Callithrix jacchus: one gene and its partner. The protein of the gene in region 2 binds, or shares a complex with, the protein of the main gene of each other region. Links are inferred from orthologs where the notes say so. Each region holds a gene or a part of one and is shown on either strand. Other genes may lie near its edges.

Evidence for each region. Proteins that work in one complex are often made in the same cells at the same time.
Region 1: the proteins of LAGE3 (region 2) and GON7 are in contact, whole or in part, in a crystal structure (PDB 6GWJ), measured with the Homo sapiens proteins. The link is inferred for Callithrix jacchus from reciprocal best matches to the Homo sapiens genes LAGE3 and GON7. Residues at the interface, in NP_006005.2 of Homo sapiens: Pro60, His61, Ile62, Phe63, Thr64, Leu65, Ser66, Val67, Pro68, Phe69, Pro70, Glu74, Arg102, Ile103, Glu111, Cys113, Leu116, Arg117, Val120, Ile121, Leu124, Asp125, Leu127, Ser128, Val131, Arg132, Met134, Gln135; in NP_115879.2 of Homo sapiens: Met1, Glu2, Leu3, Leu4, Gly5, Glu6, Tyr7, Val8, Gly9, Gln10, Leu17, Asp28, Pro29, Phe30, Gln31, Leu33, Leu34, Val37, Met40, Lys41, Val44, Thr45, Leu47, Phe48, Asp49.

What each region holds. Positions count from the first base shown.
Region 1 is NC_133509.1:128,018,450-128,025,460, reverse strand, and holds the start of GON7 (EKC/KEOPS complex subunit GON7), read left to right. Parts: upstream 1-3,207; 5' UTR 3,208-3,265; coding exon 3,266-3,473; intron 3,474-5,464; coding exon 5,465-5,559; 3' UTR 5,560-7,011. Other genes in the region: putative E3 ubiquitin-protein ligase UBR7, read right to left, coding at 1-91, 2,862-3,011. UniProt on the Homo sapiens protein: Component of the EKC/KEOPS complex that is required for the formation of a threonylcarbamoyl group on adenosine at position 37 (t(6)A37) in tRNAs that read codons beginning with adenine.
Region 2 is NC_133524.1:150,269,266-150,275,699, reverse strand, and holds LAGE3 (EKC/KEOPS complex subunit LAGE3), read left to right. Parts: upstream 1-2,578; 5' UTR 2,579-2,613; coding exon 2,614-2,801; intron 2,802-3,104; coding exon 3,105-3,233; intron 3,234-3,454; coding exon 3,455-3,569; 3' UTR 3,570-3,589; exon of another isoform or gene 3,590-3,843; 3' UTR 3,844-4,036; downstream 4,037-6,434. UniProt on the Homo sapiens protein: Component of the EKC/KEOPS complex that is required for the formation of a threonylcarbamoyl group on adenosine at position 37 (t(6)A37) in tRNAs that read codons beginning with adenine.

The DNA.
Region 1 (7,011 bases), on a different chromosome or scaffold from region 2:
CATAACTGCAAGCTAAACAAATTCCTGCTGGTTCTTCTCCCTCTGGGGTGCAGGTACTACAGGCATATAGTGCTTGTCTCTTTACTGAGCCCTAAAAGACAGACCAAAAATGGAAAAGAGAATTAATGTAATAGCATGGTTTACATAATACTCACACTAGGAACTGAAAAATAATTAAAATCAGATTATGTCTGGTCAAGATCATTCTGTAAAAACCATTAAGACTAAGAAGTTTACAATCCAGAGCATCGACCAAAACACAGTTGCACATTTCACATCTATACTAGTGATTTTCTCATGCAAGCACTTTTTTCTTTCTTTCTAATTTATTTTTTGCAGAGATGAGGCCTTGCTATGTTTCCCAGGCTGATTTCAAACTCCTGGGCTCAAGCAATTCTCCACCTTCGCCTTCCAAAGTGCTGGGATTACAAGCATTAGCCACAATGCAAACCAACATTTCTTAAAGTGATAGGAAGTCTGAATTTGTCAGCCAGCTGTGAATAAACCAATCTGTTTAATCATTTTAACATACGAAAACATAGGAGCATATGTATAGGTTTATATAATATCATACTTTCATCCTGGAAAATGTTTGTAAATCTACCAAAGAGATAATCAACACATGCAAAGAATCCCTTTGATTTTTAGGAGATGCATGCTTATTTAGAGATATAGAGTCATCAGGTGTGCAACTTATTTTTAAATAGTTCAAAAATTTAAAACAACAAATTGTAAATAGAAAAGGAGATTTAAAAATGTGACAAAATGTTAAAAGTGAATATGTATGCCGAGTGCAGTGGCTCACGCCTATAATCCTAGCACCTTGGGAGGCTGGGGGGGTGGGGGAAGGGGGGAAATCACCTAAGGTCAGGAGTTTAAGACCAGTCTAGTCAACGTGGTGAAATCTCCTCTCTACTAAAAATACAAAAATTAGCTGGGCATGGTGGTGGGCGCCTGTAATCCCAGCTTCTCGGGAGTCTTGAGACAGGAGAATCGCTTAAACCCCATGAGGTGGAGGTTGCAGTGAGCCAAGATTGCCCCATTATACTCCAGCCTGGGTGACAACAGTGAAATTTTAATCTCAAAAAAAAAAAAAAATAATGAATATGAATAAAAGGTATACAAGTGTTCATAATATTATTATTTCAATTTATCTGTAGATTAAAAATGCTTCAGGCCAGGTGGGGTCGCTCAGGCCTGTAATCCAAGTACTTTGGGAGACCGAGGTGGGCAGATCACCTGAGGTTGGGAGTTCAAGACCAGCCTGACCAACATGAAGAAACCCTGTCTCTACTAAAAATACAAAAAATTAGCTGGGCATGGTGGCGCATGTCTGTAATCCCAGCTACTCAGGAGGCTGAGGCAGAAGAACTGCTTGAACCCAGGAGGCGGAGGTTGCGGTCAGCTGAGATCGCGCCATTGCACACCAGCCTGGGCAACTAGAGCAAAACTCGGTCTCAAAAAAAAGCAAAACTTTCATAAATCTTAACAATGTTAAAAAAACAAACAAACAAAAAAGCTTAAAAATAAAAAGCTTAAAGAAAAATAGGCAAAACTTTCATAAATCTTAACAGTGTCACCTTCCTCTAGGGAAGGAAGAAGACAGACAAGGAGGCTTCTGGGATGCCAGTAAGGTTCTATTTCTTTTCTTTTTTTAAAGTTCTATTCCAATAAGCCTTTTGCACTCCTAATGTTCTAGTTGTTGAACTGGGTGGTGAGAACATGCACGCTTTCAAGTTGTGTACATGATTTGTGCAAATTTCCGTATTTTTAAACCACAAGAAAAAGAAAATATTAAGGAAATCCATTTTATAAAGGTAACTACACTTCAAAAATAGTTTACATGTAGATTTAGAACTTTTTTCCCCTTTTTTTAAGGAAAGCAGAGGAAAAATGGTTTTAGTGGTGAGCAAAGACTTTAAAATACCTGGGGCTATGTGTGGATATCAGGTTTATTCAACACTTTGCAGTCAACAATGACAACTGGTTATTATGATCTCAGTTCATACCACATAATGAATGCAAGTCTCTCCCCTCATCTCTCCAGTGTTCCAGTTCACCCCTCTGCCTAGGTAACACTTCTTCCTACCAATTCTCATCCTTTTGTCAGTTTTCTTCCTACCCATCCTTTTCCATTTTTGTACCTTGAAGTATAGGGTGAGTCACTAAACACCACGTCACACCCCCTCAAATACTTGCTCACTCACAACGTCTTCCAAATGCCAAACAGATCCTTTTCTCCTCTCTCCCCTCCCTTGCCAGAGTCGCTTGCTGTTCTGTTTCCGGTCTATTTCCAGGGGAGGGAGCGGACTGCAAATAGACATGGGTACTTGCTTCATTTTGCCAAAAAAGAAAAAAAGAAAAAGTACTAGCTAGCACTTGTCAAACTAAATTGCAGAGGAACAAGCTGTCAAGGAGCTCACCGCAAATCCTTATGGATTTGAAAATCTCTTTAACCTGACTCTCCCATTCAGTTCCCTAATAAATAAATAAATATTAGGATGGGAAGAGCAAAAACAAAGATGTCTGTGACTGAGAGGTCACGGGGTGGTTTCGTGAAAAGCAGTGGGGCACCAAGAAGAAGCTGGAGAGGAGGGACAGCGGCTCAAGGACCCAACCAGGCGGGCCGGACGGAGTTAGAGAGGGGAGAGGGGGGCCCCTGCTGGACACAGGCTGAAGGGGGCCCAGGAGGTTGGAGCTAAAAGGGCAGAGTGGGCTTGGGGTGAGGAAGCGGCAGACGAACGGCGGCCCCGGACCACCACTGAGGAAACGACCGTGGCAGGCGGGAATAGGGACAGCCCAGCCGCGAAGGGGAGGTTCGGCGGGAGCGGGGTGAGACGAGGCCCGGGCCGCACGCCCACCTGCGAGTAGGAGCATTTCTCAGAGTCGCTGCCGCCCAGGACAGCGCACGCCTCATTCTCCAGCTCCTCGTCCTCCTCAAGGACGTCGACCAACGATACGACGGGCTCCAGCTCCGACTGCCGCCCAGCGGCGCCCTCAGCCCCGGCCATCCTCAACTGTCACCCGAACAGCGGCTCGGCCACGGCGGAGGCGGGAAAAGCGGCCGCGAGGGGCGTAGCCGGAGGAGGCGGGGCCCGAGCGCCAGAAACCAATGACAAAGAAAAAAAGCGAAGAAAGGAGGAGGAGCGACCTCCGACAAACGGAAGTCACTCCTCTCCCTTCTCCCGCCTGCGCCGGTCGGGGGCTGATTTCCGCCTCCGGCTGGCGCTTTCCCGTGTCGCGTTCTTTAAGCTTAGCGGTCGCCATGGAGTTGCTGGGAGAGTACGTCTGGCAGGAAGGGAAGTCGCAGAAGTTGCGGGTGTCGTGTGAGGAGCCGGGTGGCGGCGACCCTTTTCAGGGCCTGTTGTCTGGCGTGGCCCAGATGAAGGAGCTAGTAACGGAATTATTCGGCCCCCTGGTACAGGGGGAGGTGCAGCACCGGGTGGCGGCGGCTCCAGACGAGGCCTTGGACGGTGAGCTCTGAGACTGTGCTGCAACGACAGGAGGGCGGGGCGGGCGCCCAGGGGAAATCGGCTTGGGGAGCCTGTGTAGAGTGACAGACTTGGACAAAGTGAGCCTCGAGGAAAGAAGAATTGCATCTAAAAATTTTTGGTGGGTCGGGGCAGGTGGCTTACGCCTGTAATCCTAACACTTTGAGAGGCCGAGGCAGGAGGATCACTTGAGGTCAGGAGTTCTAGAACAGCCTGGGCAACATATCGAGACCCCATTTATATTATTATTTTAAGAATAAATTTAAAAGATAAAAATTGTTGGCATTTTCAACATATTTATCTGGATTGCTTCTACTCAAGCATTTCCACGACTCTTACCACTTTTTGATTTATATCACAAAAAAAGAAATAGTGCCAAATGCCTACTATTATGTGCCAAACCCTGAGCTGAGCCCTGGAGGAAGAATGAGGTGAATGTGGCTGAGTTCCTACCCTCGTTAAACACAAGGGGATTAGACAGGCAGACACTCTATTAAGAGTGAAAGTGATTCTGTGGCCCTCTGTAACTATTGCAAACCCAGAGACCCCAGGAAGGCTTCAGAGATGACAAGACTTTTGAGCTGGGTGTTGAAGAAAATAGAAAGTTTTACCAGGTGTTAAACTATGTTTGGAAGAGTGCAGTGCAGTCTATCGCAGAGTAGGAACAGGTTCCAAAGATTGAGACAGACTTAATATTAACACGTATTGACTCCCAGGGACTCTCTTGCTATATTCCGGTTTTGTAGGTGCAGTTTGAAAGTAGAAACATGAAGTTTAACTGCATTAGTGTTTTTAAACTGTCTTGAATGCAAAACTAGACAGATTCATTTGGACTGTCCTGAACTGAAAAACCCAAAAACTAGATATTGGAGTCAGGATTTACAATTCTTTAAGAAAAGCCTAAACTACTTTCCTTCCATCTTGGGAATTAACATCTTGGTAATATGGATGTTGGCTATACTCAAAAAGAACAAGAAGTGTTGGCTGGAATGTGAAGAAATTGGAGACCTTGTACATTGTTGGTGGAAATGTAAAATGGTATAACCACTGGGAAATAGAGTTCGGTAGCTCCTCAAAAAGTTGACCTGAAGTTACCACATGACCCAGCAGTTCCACTGGTAGCCCTCTCAAGAGAACTGGAAACATGTTCACACAAAAACTTACACATGAATATTCATAGCAGCATTATTTATAGTGGCTACAATGTGGAAACAACAATTGGCTGGGCTTGGCATTGCACCTTTAGGAGGTGGAAGTGCATTAACAAAATGTGATCTGTCCCTACAATGGAATATTACTAGCAATAACATGTAATGATGTATTGATATATGCTACAACATGAATGAACCTTGAAAACATTATGCTAAGTGAAAACCAGATGCAAAGGGTACATGTTATATGATTTTGTTTATAAATGTACAGAAGGGGCAAATCCATAGAGATAAGTAGATTAGTGAGCCGAGTGCAGTGGTGGGCACCTGTAGTCCCAACTACTCTAGAGGCTGAGGCAGGAGGATCACTTGAACTGGGAGTTTGAGTCTAGCCTGGGCAGCATAGCAAGACCCTGTCTCTAATAAAAATTAAGGGGAAAAAAGGTAGGTTAGTGGTTGCCAAAGGCTGAGGGGAATGGAAAGTGACTGCTAATGGGCATATCATTTATTTTTGGAGTGATGAAAGTGTTCTAGAATTAGATAGTGGTGATGGTTGCACAGGCTAGTGAATATACTAAAAACCACTAAGCTGTACACATTAAAAGAGTGGATTTTATTATGAATGAATTGATATCTCCAAAAAGGAAAGTGATAGACAATAAAGATTTTAAACACTGAAATTCTCAAAATCATTTTAATCTAAAATGTGCATGGTTTTATTAGTTCCTAAAGTGAAATGGTTTTACTCTCAACCACTTTAGCTATATATATTTCTTTCAACCACAGAACATATTGTCATACAACAAATATTTATTTTAAAAGGTGATGATGAAGATGATGCAGAAGATGAAAATAACATTGATAACGTAACTAACTTCGATGGACCATCTGCAAAACGGCCAAAACCACCATCTTAACAATAGCCTTTATGATATTTAAAAGACTGCTATTCTATCCTAATTGTCACACTGGGACATTTAAGGAAGACTTATGCTCTAATTTGGAAAAGTGTTTGTGTTCTTCTCCTGGGACAATTTTGTCAAAGAGAAAACTAGTTTTTCTCTTTCTAGCAAAGATAGTAAAGGTTTGGAAATAAAATCCATTTTCTTGAGAAATAATTTCAGACCATGAAAAATAGAACATAATGTATAAAATCCTCTTAAGTTGGCAACTGAATTTTTATCATTGTTTTCTATTTTTAAAATGACCATTGAATTGTGTGATGTCTACATCTTTTAACTTCTGCTTCTGTTACAACGAGTGCATGTCACGGTTCATAGGCAGTAACATTTCAGAGAACTAACATGAACAAGTGGTGAAAATTGGGCATTAAATGTAAAAATAACAGTTCTTCATAAATAGAAGGAAAATGAGGAAATAGAAATACTGAAGAGGAGAGTCCTTGAAAGAGACCCAAGGAAACCCTGAATTCACACCCATATCTGTCCAGTATACAGATATGATGCCACTTAATGAATGTGCATTAATCTGATGTATTATGTACCTTAAGAGAGCCAGATGGGGTGGGTTATGTTTTTGTGCTGTGATATGGTATGGACACAGGTACAAATATAAGGCCTTAAGTAAGCAATCTGTGTTGACTACAATTTAGATATTTCCTCTCCTGTAGCCATACTTTGATTTTGCTTTAAAAAGATTATTTAGCCAGGCTAATTTTGATTTTGCTTTTAAATGGTTATTTAGCCAGGCCTGGTGCCGTACACCTATAATCCAGCACTTTGGGAGGCCAAGGCAGATAGATCACCAGAGGTCAAGAGTTCAAGACCAGTCTGACCAACAGTGAAACCCTGTCTCTCCTAAACAAAAAATTAGCTAGGTGTGGTGGTGCATGTCTGTAATCCCAGCTACTTGGGAGGATGAGGCAAGAGAATCACTTGAAAATGGGAGGTGGAGGGGTTTCCTCCGTCTCCAGATCAAAAAGGTTAACAGGCGGGTCGAGTCTGAAGAATCTGGTGATGAAGAAGGGAAGAAGCACAGCAGTGGCATCGTGGCTGACCTCAGTGAACAGAGCCTGAAGGATGGGGAGGAGGACCCAGAAGAAGAACACGAGCTGCCTATGTGAACCTATGAAAACCATCAACCTGAACAGAGATGCAGAGGATGTTGATTTGAATCACTATCACATTGGGAAGACTGAAGGATTTGAGATACTGAAGAAAGTGAAGACTCTCTGCCTCTGCCAAAATTTAATTAAATGCATTGAGAATCTGGAGGAGCTACAGAGTCTTCGAGAGCTGGATCTTTACAACGACCAGATCAAGGAGACTGAGAATCTAGAGGCGCTAACAGAGCTGGAGATTCTAGCTATTTATTTTAATCTGCTGAGAAACATCGAAGGGGTTGATAAG
Region 2 (6,434 bases):
ATAAGATATAGCAGGACTTTATTCCAAGTGCAAAAGGAAATCATTCTAGGGTTTTAACCAGAGATGTGATCCCATGCAATGTTTTTTTTTTTTTTCGAGACAGAGTCTCACTCTGTTGCCCAGGCTGGAGTGCAGTGGTACAATCTCAGCTCACTGCAACCTCCACCTCCCAGGCTCAAGAGATTCTCCTGCCTAAGCCTCCTGAGTAGCTGGGACTACAGGTACACACCACCATACCCAGCTATTTTTTTTTTTTTTGTATTTTTGGTAGAGATGAGGTTTCACTATGTTGGCCAGGATGGTCTGGATCTCTTGACCTCGTGATTAGCCCGCCTCAGACTCCCAAAGTGCTCGGATTATAGGTGTGAGCCACCGCACCTGGCCAATACTTTTTTTTTTTTTGAGACGGAGTTTTCGCTCTTATTACCCAGGCTGGAGTGCAATGGCGTGATCTCGGCTCACCGCAACCTCTGCTTCCTGGGTTCAAGGAATTCTCCTGCCTCAGCTTTCCAAGTAGGCGTGCACCACATGCCCAGCTAATTTTTGTATTTTTAGTAGAGATGGGGTTTCACCATGTTGACTAGGATAGTCTGGATCTCTTGACCTCATGATCCACCCGCCTTGGCCTCCCAAAGTGCTGGGATTATAGACATGAGCCACCGCGCCCAGCCAATACTTCTTTTTTTTTTTTTACTGTAAATGTCATAAAAACCCACTTTGGAAAAATTGGAGGTAAAACTAAAAGTAAATTAAAATCACCCCTATCCTATTATGCAGAGATCATGAGGATTTACATGTTGCTGTATGCTCTAGGATTTCTCTACATGTGTACAGTAAGAGACTAACTTGGCCTTTTCTTTTCTTTTTATTTTTTGAGGCGGGGTCTCGCTCTATCAACCAGGCTGGAGTGCAGTGGGTTGATCACGGCTAACTGCAGCCTCTGCGTCCCGGGCTCAGGCTATCCTCCTATCTCAGCCTCCCTAGTAGCCGGGACCACAGGTACGCATTTTTTTCTGGAGACATGGTTTCACTATGTTGCCCAGGCTGTTGTCGAAATCCTGGCTCAAGCAATCCACCCTCTTCAGTCCCCCAAGTAGATGGGACTACAGGCATGCTCCACCATGCCCAGCTAATTTTTAAAATTTATTTTTGGCCAGGTGCGGTGTTGCGTGCCTGTAGTCCCAGCTACTCGGGAGGCTGAGGCTGAAGGATCGCTTGAGCCCAGGAGTTCTGGGCTGTAGTGCACTATGCTGATCGGGTGTCCGCACTAAGTTGAGCATAAATAGGGTGACCTCCCGGGAACGGGGAACCACCAGGTCGCCTAAGGAGGGGTGAACCGGCCCAGGTTGGAAATGGAGCAGGTCAAATCCAGTGCTGATCAGTAGTATTGCACCTGTGGATAGCTACTGCACTCCAGTCTGGACAACATAGTGAGACCCCGTTTCTAAAAAAAAAAAAAGAAAAGAAAGAAAAGAAAAGTTACTTTTGTATTTGTTGTAGAGATGTGGTCTCACTATGTTGCCCATGTTGGTCTTGAACTCCTGGGCTTAAGTGATCCTCCTCCCTTGGCCTTCCAAAGTGCTGGGATTACAGGCGGGAGCCACTTAGCCTGCCCTAAAGTGGCATTTTCTTTCTTTTTTTTTTGTAGAGACGGGATTTCTCCATGTTGGCCAGGCTGGTCTCGAACTACCGACCTGAGGTGATTCCCCCACCTCCGCCTCACAAAGTGCTGGCATTACAGGCGTGAGCCACCGCGCCCGGCCTAAAGTGGCATTTTCATACTCATAGTTGTGCAGTCTGATTTTCCACGTTATATGAGACCTAGGCACAGCGCCAATACTTGCGTTCAAGGCCGTCATATTTCGCCTCAGTGCAGGCGTTCTGCTGACAGGCTCCCGCTCCGCACAGCGCCCCCACCCCGCTCTAAAATGCCTCCTCTAAAATGTAAATCCGACTCTTTACCGTCCACTGTGAAGCCCCCTCGGTTGGACCATGGGGTCGTGGGCAAGAGCAGTATCCTTGTGGGGGGGTATCAGACCCCGCCACCGTCCCTCCGCGAGTCGCTGCATGCACGTTAGTGCCACATCTCCGGGGGATATTGGGTACCGGTAAGAAACAGGGCGGGAAGCGCCCAGACACCCTCGGGCCTCACTAGGGCCTCACTAGGGCCTGCCCGGCCGAGGCCACAGGCCCTAGACGGCGCAGGCGCGCTGCGGTCACAAGGCGCAGTTAGGGGCGGAGCCTTGCAGGGTGCGCCTCTGGGCTAGGCGACCACGGGGTCTTCAAAACCCCGTCAGGGCTGGCTTCCTGGGGCCTGACTGACTGTGGGTCACTTTGCACTGACGGCCTGGGATCGAGTTACGCGCGAAGGGACAGAGTTTCTGGAGGAGACCGCGGCCTCTTAACCGCTGACTCGGTCTCAGAAGGCACCCGGCAGGGCCGCTTGGCGGGAACTGACCACGCGCCAGGCAGGCTTCCCAAGAACGAGTGCCGGCGCGTGTGGGCGGAGTCGGGCGCAGGGGGCGGGGATTCGGGAAAGGGACCGGGAGAGAGGGCGGGGCGTGGGGGCCTGCGCCTCGGGGGTGGAGTCCGAGCTGCGTGGCGGCGGAGGTCATGCGGTGCGCGAATGCACACGCTGGCGCAGGCACAATTGGCAGGGATGGCCAGGGTGGCCACAGCTGCCCCAGGGGCACGGACACAGCGGGAGCTCCGGCTGACGAACCTTCCCCACCGCACCCGCCAGGTCCTGGCAGAGACGCCGCATCTGCGGCCAGGGGTTCAGGAATACGGCCGCACATATTGTATTCTTTCCAAGGGGAGGTCGGGAACAGACTGGCGGCTGCCTGCGCCGGGGCGAGGGCTGGATTCGGGGAGGAAGAAAGGAGGGCGGGCGGCGACCGGGGTAGACGAGCAGGGGTGCTCGGAGGAGGGGAAGAAATAGAAATGGAAGGAGAGAAGCCCTGCCAGCGGTGGCCTGGGCCACGTGAGGAGTAAAGCGAATGACTCTAGGTAGGGTGACCTGAGGGGGGGCTTCAGAGGATCAAGAAGGCCTGAGACATAGGCAAAGTCGTATCAGATGGCACCTTAACCGAATGCCCCCCCAGCACCCTTAGTGTGCCTTTCCCGACCCCCTTGGAGGCGGAAATCGCGCATGGGTCCCTGGCTCCAGATGCCGAGCCCCACCAAAGGGTGATTGGGAAGGATCTCACAGTGAGCGGCAGGATCCTGACCGTGTAAGTTCTGAAAGGGGCTGGAGTTGGGGGAGGCAACCGATGGAGACGTAGGGGGCACCCATGGATGAACCCTAAGGAGCGCCAGGTGCGCCGGGCCGGTCTCCACCTGAGGGGCTGTCTCATGGGCTCCCGAGGCTTTGCTGTAATGGGTGCCTGAGCGGCAGAGTGACGGACCAGGAGTTGTCACCTCCAATTTTATTTTCTTTATCCCTCACTTTTAGCCGCTGGAAAGCTGAAGACTGTCGCCTGCTCCGAATTTCCGTCATCAACTTTCTCGACCAGCTTTCCCTGGTGCTGCGGACCATGCAGCGCTTTGGGCCCCCCGTTCCCCGCTAAGCCTGGCCTGGGAAAATGGGGTGAGGTCTAATATTGCGTCTCCCTAGGTAGGGCACCCAGCTTTCCCTAGGGCAGGAGTTCCCACAGTTGCTATTTTCCTGTGAAAGCCTCATGGTCGGCCTGTACTGGCCCGTGGGTGCTCAGGGGCCCCTTGTTTGATCTGGTTCTTAAATGTTTGTTACCACAGAAAATAAAACTGAGCTACTGTTCCAAGTCTGAGTTTATTTCAGCTACAGCACCTCCCAATATTCTAGTCATTGTGCTTCGGTTACAGGGGAGGTTCTAGAATCCAGATATTCAAGGAAATTGAAGACAATTTAGGAAATGGAAGAAAATGAAAATCAGCTGGGCTCTCATTCAGCATCAACTACTGTCAACATTTTGGAATCCTTCCTTATAGTTACATTTATTACAGTTGTTTTCCCCTGAAGTTAATAGTAATAAACGTGTAACTGTAATATACAGCATATAATTTTTGCAAGTTTAGCGTTAATTTTTTTTCCTGAATTTTAAATCTAACATGAGCTTCTTTCCTCTAACAGTGAAGAAAGTGCTGGGTCAACTGACTAGTGTTTGGGGAAGGAGTTGGCTCCCTGTAAATACACTAAACTCAGTCTTAGGACTCTTTTGTAGATTCAATTGGATTTTCTGAGAGTGGAAATAAAGAGGTACAACTGCGTATCCTCAGAAAACATGGAAACGGTTTGATCCTTTTTAGTCTTTCTCTGAAGATGTGCTGCATGGGACTGGAGCAGCTCTTATGGTAGACTTCAGTTTCCCGGCTATGGAGGCAACAAACACCATTCAGGGCACCCTGGCCAATGCTGCCCAGGTGAATATGAGCTTCTGTATCCTGGTGGGTGGGGACAGCTGCTAGTCCCTGTCCTGCTTGCATACTGGAGTCACCTTTCTTCCTTTCCTGCTGGGGTGATGTCTTTCCCTGGCCTTGGGTAGCTTCCTCACATGCCTGTGCTCACTGGTGGTCTGCTGACACCAGAGGAGGACTCTCCGTGGATATCCAGGGTTTTTTCCCTGTGCAGCTCTCTTCTCTCTAGCTCCCCATCCTGCAAACTCCAGCTACTGGGACTCTCTGATTCAGAGTTTCAACTCATAAAGTCCGGGTATCTGCCTGGCTCCACCAGGAAACTCCACACAGGGCACTGGGCCAGTCACGTGGCTTACCTCAAGTGTTTCCCAGCTCCCACCTGTCACTGTCCCTCACTGCCCCACAGCCAGTTTATTGTGTTCCATATATTTGGTCTGGTTTGGGGGTTCTTTCATGTGGCAGTACATATTCAGTCCCTATTACTCCATAAGGAGGAACAGTTTCATTTTGCAGAATCTGGGGAGCTCTGCCAGTAGTGACAGTGGCACTGGTCTCGAGCTTATGAAGATGACACTTTGTTCTCTCCCTCTGTTTTACTCATTCCTTTCTTTCTTCCTTTCTTAATATTTTTTAAACGTTAATTATTGATGAACAGTTGGCAATTTAGATCTTTTACTTTTTAAAAAATTCTTTTTTTGGACACAGGGTCTGGCTCTTGTCACCTAGGCTGGCACAGTCATGGCTCACTGCAGCCTTGACCCTCTGGGCTCAGGCAATCCTCCCACCTCAGTCTCCTGAGTAACTGGGACCACAGGCACATGCCACCACACCTGGCTAATTTTGTGTTTTTTGTAGAGAGGGGTCTCACTATGTTGCCGAGGCTGGTTCTGAACTCCTGGGCTCAAATGATCTTCTTGTGTGGGCTTCCTAAAGTCCTGGGATGACAGGTGTGAGCCACCACACCCAGCCCCATATAACTCAAACCTAGCCCCAATTTAGCTCTGTCTCCCTTCCTCTTCCTCTCATGATGCTTCTGTTAGATTCCATTCATTTCTGAGAGATTTTCCCCTAAGGTTAAAAATTGCCTTGTTTTCCCATGGCTTAGTTATCATTATCATATGATGGTAACATTCTAAACCATCTCCCTTGCCCTCTGTCCTCCGTCTGGCTGGCTCTGTCTGGGCTGACTGCACAGCTGCCATCCCGCAATTTCTCTTTATCCTGGGTCAGAATCCAGTCCTGCCTTGCATGTCCTTCTCTTTACTGTTTTACTCCTTATTTGTGTAGTTGCTTGTTTTTTTAACTCAGGCTTATTAAGGCATCATTTACGTACTGTGAACTTCCCCTCTGCTGCATGGACAGGTCTCAGTTTTGGTAAACACCAACGGTCCTGTAACCACCACCGCTGTCTGGCGCCGTGGCCCCAGAGCTGGACAGTTGGAGCTGGCAGCTTTTAAACCCAAGTCAGATGGCCTCAGTTCTCTGCTCCAGGCCATCCAAGCCACCATATTTAAAACTGCATCTCACTGGGCTGGGCACAGTGGCTCACAACTGTAATCCCAGCATTTTGGGAGGCCAAGGCAGGAGGATCACTTGAGCCCAGGATTTCAAGACCAGCAAGACTCCATTTCTACTAAAGGAAGGAAAAAAAATAGCTGGGTTTGGTGGCAAGTACTTGTAGTCCCAGCTACTCAGAAGGCTGAGGCAGCTGGATCACTTGAGCCCAGCATGAGCAATAGGGCAAGATCCTGTCTCAAAAAAAAACATAAAAAGTAAAAAGAGTAAGATTCGATCTCACCTGGCCAGGTGTAGTGGCTCCTGCTGGTAATCCCAATACTTTGGGAGGCTGAGGGGTGAGGATCACCTGAGGCCAGGAATTCAAGACCAGCCTGAACAACATAGTGACACCCTATCTCTACAAAAAAAAAAAAACCAAACAAACAAACAAAAAAACACATGGTAGAGCAGAGTGCACTTACCCAGCTACTCAGGAGGCTGAGGTGGGAGGATCACTTGAGCCCAGCAGTTTGAGGCTTCAC